Linked DNA regions of Danio rerio. The protein of the gene in region 1 interacts with the protein of each later gene in a biochemical or structural test. Links are inferred from orthologs where the notes say so. Each region holds a gene or a part of one and is shown in the gene's direction. Other genes may lie near its edges.

Region 1 (3,500 bases):
GGGGCAGAGACCAGAAAATAAAAACAAGAACAGATATAAGAATATACTACCATGTGAGTAACGTGCTGTATTTTTCTGGTTTCTTAATGGGAGAGGCATGTTTCATAATGCAACGGTTAATCTCCAGGGCTCTTGTTCATGCTTTGATCATCATTTTCTGGGTTGCAGTTGACACCACTCGAGTGCAGATCAAGGAAGCGGATCCTGATGTTCCCGGATCCGATTACATCAACGCTAACTATATCCGAGTAAGACCCCGCTTCGCTCGTAATGATTACACGTCAATCTGAATGTCAAGCTTTTGCTGGGTTGTTGAGCTGTGATCAATAAGTTTAGAGATTGCATGTTCTTTTTATCCTTATTGATTTTGTTCTTTTTTCATTTAGAGCGTGAATGAAGAAGGACGTCATATGGATGAAGGTAAAGTGTTCATCGCTACTCAGGGCTGCCTTCAGAACACAGTCCTGGACTTCTGGAAAATGGTTTATCAGGAAAATACACATGTTATTGTCATGACAACCAAGGAGATGGAGAGAGGACGGGTAAGGTCCAGGATGAAAATATTGTACATTCATTCATTCATTCATTCATTCATTCATTCATTCATTCGATCGTTCATTAATACATTTATATTTATATTATATTATATTATATTATATTATATTATATTATATTATATTATATTATATTATATTATATTATATTATTTTATATTATATTATATTATATTATATTATATTATATTATATTATTTTATTTTATTTTTTGTCATATTATGTTATATTGTTTGTCATGGGATACATAGAATATAAGAAAATAAACAATTTGTTATAAAAAAAAATATTTTTTATGCTCTTAATTATATTTCCTTAATTATTTGTGATAATAAAAGTAATTTATATTTTTGGGGGGAGAAATTCATTCAGAATTCATATCAGTTTTAAATACACTGACCATAAAACTGCTAAATGATGACAATCTTGATTCAATTACCCATACAATTATATATTCCAGCCACAATGATTTGGTTTTATTTATTAAACATCTGACGAGTGCAATCCCAGTTGGCATAAAATTATGAAACAGCGTCAGTCTTTGGTCTCTTCAACCTTATGGTATGATTATTAGTCAAATTATTGCAGAAGTATTGGGATTAAAGTTTTGATGTAACCACTATTGAATATTGCACAGCAAAATAGACATTCATATTTTTTAAAGTAACACTATTTTATAAATAATGTTTATCAATTACAGTGTTACGCCAAAAGGTGGTGATAAGTTACTATTAAAAATGCATTTGTCATTGACTTATTTATTCAAGAGAGTCATTCAAAAGGGCTGATTCATCCAGTAATGAAACAAGTGAGGTCTATATAAGCCAGTGATTAAATCAACCTTTCAAACCGATGGGAATTAATTAAATTAACATTGTGTCCAAATCTCTAGTATATTACATGTCATTTTGTTGAAGTCCACCAAAAAAATTAAGTTTCCTCCTTATTTACTCGTACTTAATTGATTATGAACTTTAATGAATTTCTTTTTTTCTGTTAAACACAAAGCAAGATATTATGAAGAATTTTGCAAAAAAGCAACCATTGACATCTATAGTAGGAACAAAAAACACTATGAAAGTCAATTGTTGTGTTTTCCAACATTTTTTATTATAGATTCTCTTGTGTTCATCAGAAAAATGGAGGATGACTAAATAATGGCAAAATTAAAATTTTGGGATCTATTTGGGAACTTTTTAACTTTTCCTTTAATTTGTCAATTCAGAATCGTGGATGAAACATGATTATTATTTTGAACAAAAATGTGATTCTTCTTATATACCAAAAATTTCTAATGCATAATTTGAGAAAATTGAGAATCCACTAATGTTGTATAGCTAAATAGACAACACAGATTTTTTTTTGGGAACTAAACATTGAACTTCTCCCTATAGAATAAATGTGTGCGGTACTGGCCAGACTTGAATTCAACAAAGGAGTTTGGGAAGGTGTGTGTGAAGAACATTGAGGAACACACAGCTCAGGACTACATACGGCGAGAGCTTGAAGTCACACGTCTAGACAGGGTAAGAGCAATGCGATGACAGATGACATGCTGCAGCCAGAGGCAGTTCATAACCTTTGACCTTGTTGTTTACAGTAGCAGCTTGGAGAGAATCTTCTCACTTACTTCAAACCTGTATTACTTTACATTACTAATCTAGGTTGGATGTAGTTTTTCTCATTTTGTAAATTATCATTTGATGTTTCTTTTTTTTTTTTTTTTGTAATTCACTCAGGACTTACTCATTCATATTCATTGAAAGGGGAAGAGAAACCTATTTGTGACCTGTGTACGAATATTTAGACCATAAAACATGTTTTAATAGAAGGTACTGTATATTTTCAAGTTATATTAGAGAACGTTTTTTTAAGGGAAACTTTTAAAAAGATGTCTCCTTTTTCTATTTTACCCTATTTATCATTGGTCAAAATGAAAGAACTCTCATGACTTTTAATCAGTGTGATATCTATATGTTTTTATATAATGCATGTTTGTTTAGAAACAGTTATGATTGTAAATTATAAACTTAATATTCAATTCCAATGTTGACATAGACATACTGCTGATATGGCATAAATAAATAAATAAATAAATACATACATACATATATACATACATATATACATACATACATACATACATACATACATACATACATACATACATACATACATACATGCATACATAAATACTTTTTGTAATTACAGAGAGAGCCTCCCAGGTGTATCTGGCACTATCAGTACCTGAGTTGGCCTGATCACGGTGTTCCAAATGAACCTGGAGGAGTGTTGAGCTTCCTGGAGCAAGTGAACCGAACCCAGAGCGCCATTCCAGAGAGCGGACCCATAGTGGTTCACTGCAGGTACTACACAGCTCACACGTTCTACTTAGATTTATTTAATTATTTTGCTAAATGTGGTCTTAAAGGCACAGTTCTCCCCCCTTCCCCCATAAAAAAATCCAATACTTATTCCCTGTGATGTCCTTCAAATGCTATATGCTATTTATGCTATTAGTTTCTTTTGCCAAACACAAAAAGAGAATTCTAATGAAAAGTCCATTCATTCATTTATTCATTTTCTGAAAACTCCATTCATTCATTTGCCTTAAAAATGTAGCTATTTTAAAAACCCATTAGTTTATTTAAAGGTCATACTCAAATAAACACTAGAATAGATGTTTTTTCTGATGTAATTAAATCTAAATTATGCTTCAAACATTTGATTTTAAAACACTATCAATGACTGAAAACCAAAAAATACAAAAAAAAAATCTTTAGATTCTTATTCACTCTGTCACTTCCGTCATTGGTATTTATTTTCAGCTGTCTGCTGCACTATATGTTCACCTTTGTGGTCGGTCTAGCCGGCGCAATAGCCACATTAGTAATAGCACATACTAGGAAGGTGGGTATCAGGGTTGCCAGGTTTTTGCAATAAAAC
Region 2 (4,257 bases), on another chromosome or scaffold:
TCAGTATACTGTATATTTTCTAACCTGGTCCTGTGAAATATTTGCTTCTTCCCAAAAAGAGTGTAATCATCTTTTACATGTTTCTTTTTGAAAAGCTCATGCATGTCACTGACCTTCATTGGAAGCAATGTTCTGTATTTTAGAGGCCTTGTTCATTGCGTGTAATATCTTTATGTAATACGATGTTATGAATTATTACATATTGAGCTGAAAGTGCACCATAGGTCTTCCACAAAATCTGAGAGCTGAAATGCATTCGCAGTTTGTCAGTGAAATTGAAATCAAGCAATCTGATTCTCTCAGAAATTGATGTAGCCTAAACTACTAAACTCGTCGGTAAAGTTTTAATGTTGATATACCTCAAGTGTTTTGTGGTCCAGTAACTTGATATATGAGTGAAAATAACCTTTTATATGATTCAAGAGAGACTTCACTGAATATTTTACCGCTTACTCTGGCACATTTTCGAAGTCAATAATGCTACATATGTATGTATTCCAAAATTGAGGAAAAAAAGAGGTATATGTTTGAATAGAGGAAGTTAATAATGGATCTTGCTTCTAGATTCATTTCTGTTCAGCGTTTTTTATGTTTTTTATTTAGCATTTTCTATTGTTCTTTGTGCCTCTTAAGGTCAAATCAAGGTTGTAAGTTTGCTAACGCTGCTAGGATAATAATATCTATGTAATGAATTGTAGGCACAACTAACAAACACTAAAACGTAGACAATGACTGCTTGTTAGTTTTGAGATACAATACTGAATGTACCCTTGTTCTGTTTGTGTAACATTAGATATTATTTAATCGAAACCTTGAAGTATGAGGTAAATAAACGTGACAAATAATGAAATTCTGTGTTCAGATGGTTATTACACGTTGTCAATACAAAATAAAATATATTGCCATGCTAGTAAATTTGTCCCTGTATGTAACTCGATTGCAATCCACTCCAAAGTTTGTCCGTTTATATGTTGGAGTGTAAAACGCTTAATAACACATTACACTACATTTAAATGTAGAAAACTGAAGAGGTTATTCTTTAAAAAAAAAATTAAAATTACGATAATTATTAAAGAATAATCAGAATAATGTATTTGTATTGAGGTGATGTGCTTAATTACTTTATAACATTATGCTATGTCGTTGGGATAGTAAGTTTGTGTACACTAAAATATGAATATAGTTGATGGCTTGACATCGGTACCTGAGGATTTTTGCTTTAGCTGTCTGAGATTTGCCTGAACTGTGCATACGTTTTTGAAAAGCTTAAAAATACATACCTATTGCTCGCCTGTGAATAACCCTTTTGTCGACTCTTTTCATGTCGTTTTCATCGCAGTTGAGGCACAACAATTATGATTAAAGAGCATTTGAGTTGATCATTTTTAGATAGGCACTATTCGAAGCAGCCCCGTTCTGAGAAGTTGTGGGGTCTTAAATAAAACACTCGTAATGAGGAGGCGCGATCATGGCGGACGTGTTGAGTGTTCTTCGCCAGTACAACATCCAGAAAAAGGAGATTGTCGCAAAAGGCGATGAAGTTATTTTCGGGGAATTCTCCTGGCCTAAAAATGTCAAGACCAACTATGTCATCTGGGGGTATGTGCGCGTTTGTTCTGTTGACTTATTCGTGTTGTTTTGAGCCGAGCTGGTTTAGCCGCTAATGCGCTAGTGATGGACTCGTGTGAAGAAACTCGTGTTGTGTACAAATGCTCACGTAAAGATAAATATGTTTCATGTGGAAGAAGGTGCCGATGGATATATGCACATGGTAATAATGCAACTAAGAATTTGGCTGCTCCTTAAAACATTGAGCTGTTTACATGTTCGTCTTTACTGAGGCTGCGCAAGAACTTCTCATTTGTTTGTGTTGCAACGTTGCTTTCTGGAGTGATCTATCCTTAAATCTAATAAAACGTTGACCTGAACATTTACTTGTAATCACGAAATGGTGGCATTTAAGTGACATTAAAGCACTATTTTAGCTGAATTAGCTTGTCGGATGATCCTCATAACCACACTTTGTTGTACCAAACATTTTTCCAAAATATTTACTATAAATAAATATAACAAATGTTAATTTTGTTTAAATAGAAGCTTATTACATCATATGTCATTAGGGAAAAAAACTGTAACGTTAGCCTATTGTAATTTATGAGGCAAATAACAAACTGGCCAGCACATTCAACTTTCCTCAGTTCTTGGTCATTTGAATAATAAAAAAAATTAACAATTTATTAGCCTCTCTTGTAAAAGTGCTTATAGAGGTAAAGTTGGTTTTATATTTACACATTCAGACTTTCCCCTTAATAATATAATTTCATAAAAGTATTGTTTGCCAATTCTAAATAGCGAAATCATATTAGCAGCCAATGACTATCAAAGTACAACACTGTTCACAGTCAAATAAACAGTGTTAATGTTGTTTTCAAGTCATACTTGTAGGTTATTTCAGATCGAATATTCAAAGTGCTGTGGTAAACAATATAGGGAGTGTCACAAGTTGTCATTGAACAAATGTGTGAATATAGCTTTACCTCTATAAAGTGCTTTACACTTTTATTGGTCATGTTTTTTTTTTTCTCCATGAACAAGGTCCAATATTTAGAATAAAAGTTACTTGTCAAAAGTTTTCTCTATTCAAAAACAATTCAGTAGCAGAAAGTTTGCTTTATGTCAGATGTTTTCGTGCACAGCTGGTTTTGGACTCATGAAAAATAATTGTTTGCATTTGTCAAAACTGATTTACTTAAATCACACCAGGATTTCGCTTGCTCTTAAAGCCCTTTTCAATGGGTTATTTTTACTATTTTTGATGACATAGTAGTCGAAATAATACAAATGAGCACCTCTATGGGACAAATTCTGGACATTCTAATGCAACGGTTCCCAACAGGGAGGTCCCCTATTGACCTTATTCTGCGCAGACGAGTGGGCGCTGCCATTTGAATTTTTTTGGCACGAGACTTCCGGTCTCATTCACTTCCATTCATTTTTAGACATTAAAAACTGCTCGTTTCGCTGTTTGATGTTGTAAACTGATATTTCCTTGTTATATTATTCTACTTGGTCTGTATAGTCATGCAAACATTTGTTTGTAGAGCAAGTAGTTTGACCTTTTTTGCTGTTTATTATTCCTTGTCATTTCTCCCATAGGCGACTGAAACGGAAGCTCTAAGACAATCGCGAAAACAGGCGCACTTCCGCATTTTAGAATAAGGTCAATAAGGGGGCCTTGGTAAGCTCTGGGGGCATCACGTCATATTTTAAAAAATAAAATAGCAGTGGATGATTAGTAGAGATCATGTTGCCTTTCATCCCCTTGCCGAACAAATTTTTTTTTTACAAAATTACAAATTTGTCCCTTGGAAAAAAGTCTCACTAATTTGCCTTCAGCAGCTAATACTGGACCCAGGTGAGGAAGCTCCAAACATTTTGGGTCGCAGAGCTAGCAATACTGGAAACATGAAATGCAGGAAATACCAAGATAAGTTACTTGAACTATGGTTTATTCCATTTACTCGAAGCAAAGAGGCCCTGCCCCAGCCATAGTGTATTATCTGAGCCAAAGTTCTTGCTAACAAATGTATGAGACCATTCATCCCCAATACTGTGACAAGCCCAAAGCATTTTTTGATCACAAGGAGCAAAGACTTATGTTTTTTTTTTGTTACAAATGGCCTACTGTTGTTTAGCTTTTATATTTTACATTAGTCTATTATTTGTGCATAAACATATGTAGATATTGTAGTAAACATACCATTTGTTTGAATACATTTTTTGTCACACTTACTGCAAATTAATATGAGCGATAATAATGTGGAGGGGGGGCTTAAATGATTTTCAGAGGGAAAAGGGGGTCTCAGGCAAAGAAGGTTGAGAACCACTGTTCTAATGTACTGTATCATGGTAACTTGCCACCATAAATTTGTTTTGTGTGTGTTTGTTTGTTGTAGTGATAATTTATGTACACAGTCGGGTCAACTGTTCTTCCTCCTTGCATGTTTTTGTGAAGTTGTTGTGTTATTTGTGATAAACAGTGTTTGGGTTAATCATTTCACGATAACCGTTTTCAAGGTATACGATGGTTTGGAAAAGTCAAGATTTTAACTTCATTTAAAGAATTAAGACTGACCTGTTTACTGCTCCAAATAAATGTGTCAAAGGGGACTTGGGTTTTTTTTTTACCCAGACATTTAAAAAAAAACATATTAGAGCAGTAATGACAATACCGTGAAACTTAGAATCTTAAATCGA

Evidence for each region. The genes of interacting proteins can lie anywhere in the genome.
Region 2: of the proteins of ptpn11b (region 1) and cdc73, one has a biochemical effect on the other in vitro, tested with the Homo sapiens proteins (2 studies listed by BioGRID and IntAct). The link is inferred for Danio rerio from reciprocal best matches to the Homo sapiens genes PTPN11 and CDC73.

What each region holds. Positions count from the first base shown.
Region 1 is NC_133198.1:26,921,107-26,924,606, forward strand, and holds part of ptpn11b (tyrosine-protein phosphatase non-receptor type 11b), read left to right. Parts: coding exon 1-53; intron 54-168; coding exon 169-248; intron 249-386; coding exon 387-542; intron 543-1,948; coding exon 1,949-2,080; intron 2,081-2,765; coding exon 2,766-2,920; intron 2,921-3,500. UniProt on the Homo sapiens protein: Acts downstream of various receptor and cytoplasmic protein tyrosine kinases to participate in the signal transduction from the cell surface to the nucleus. Positively regulates MAPK signal transduction pathway. Dephosphorylates GAB1, ARHGAP35 and EGFR.
Region 2 is NC_133177.1:12,374,017-12,378,273, forward strand, and holds the start of cdc73 (parafibromin), read left to right. Parts: upstream 1-1,457; 5' UTR 1,458-1,468; coding exon 1,469-1,599; intron 1,600-4,257.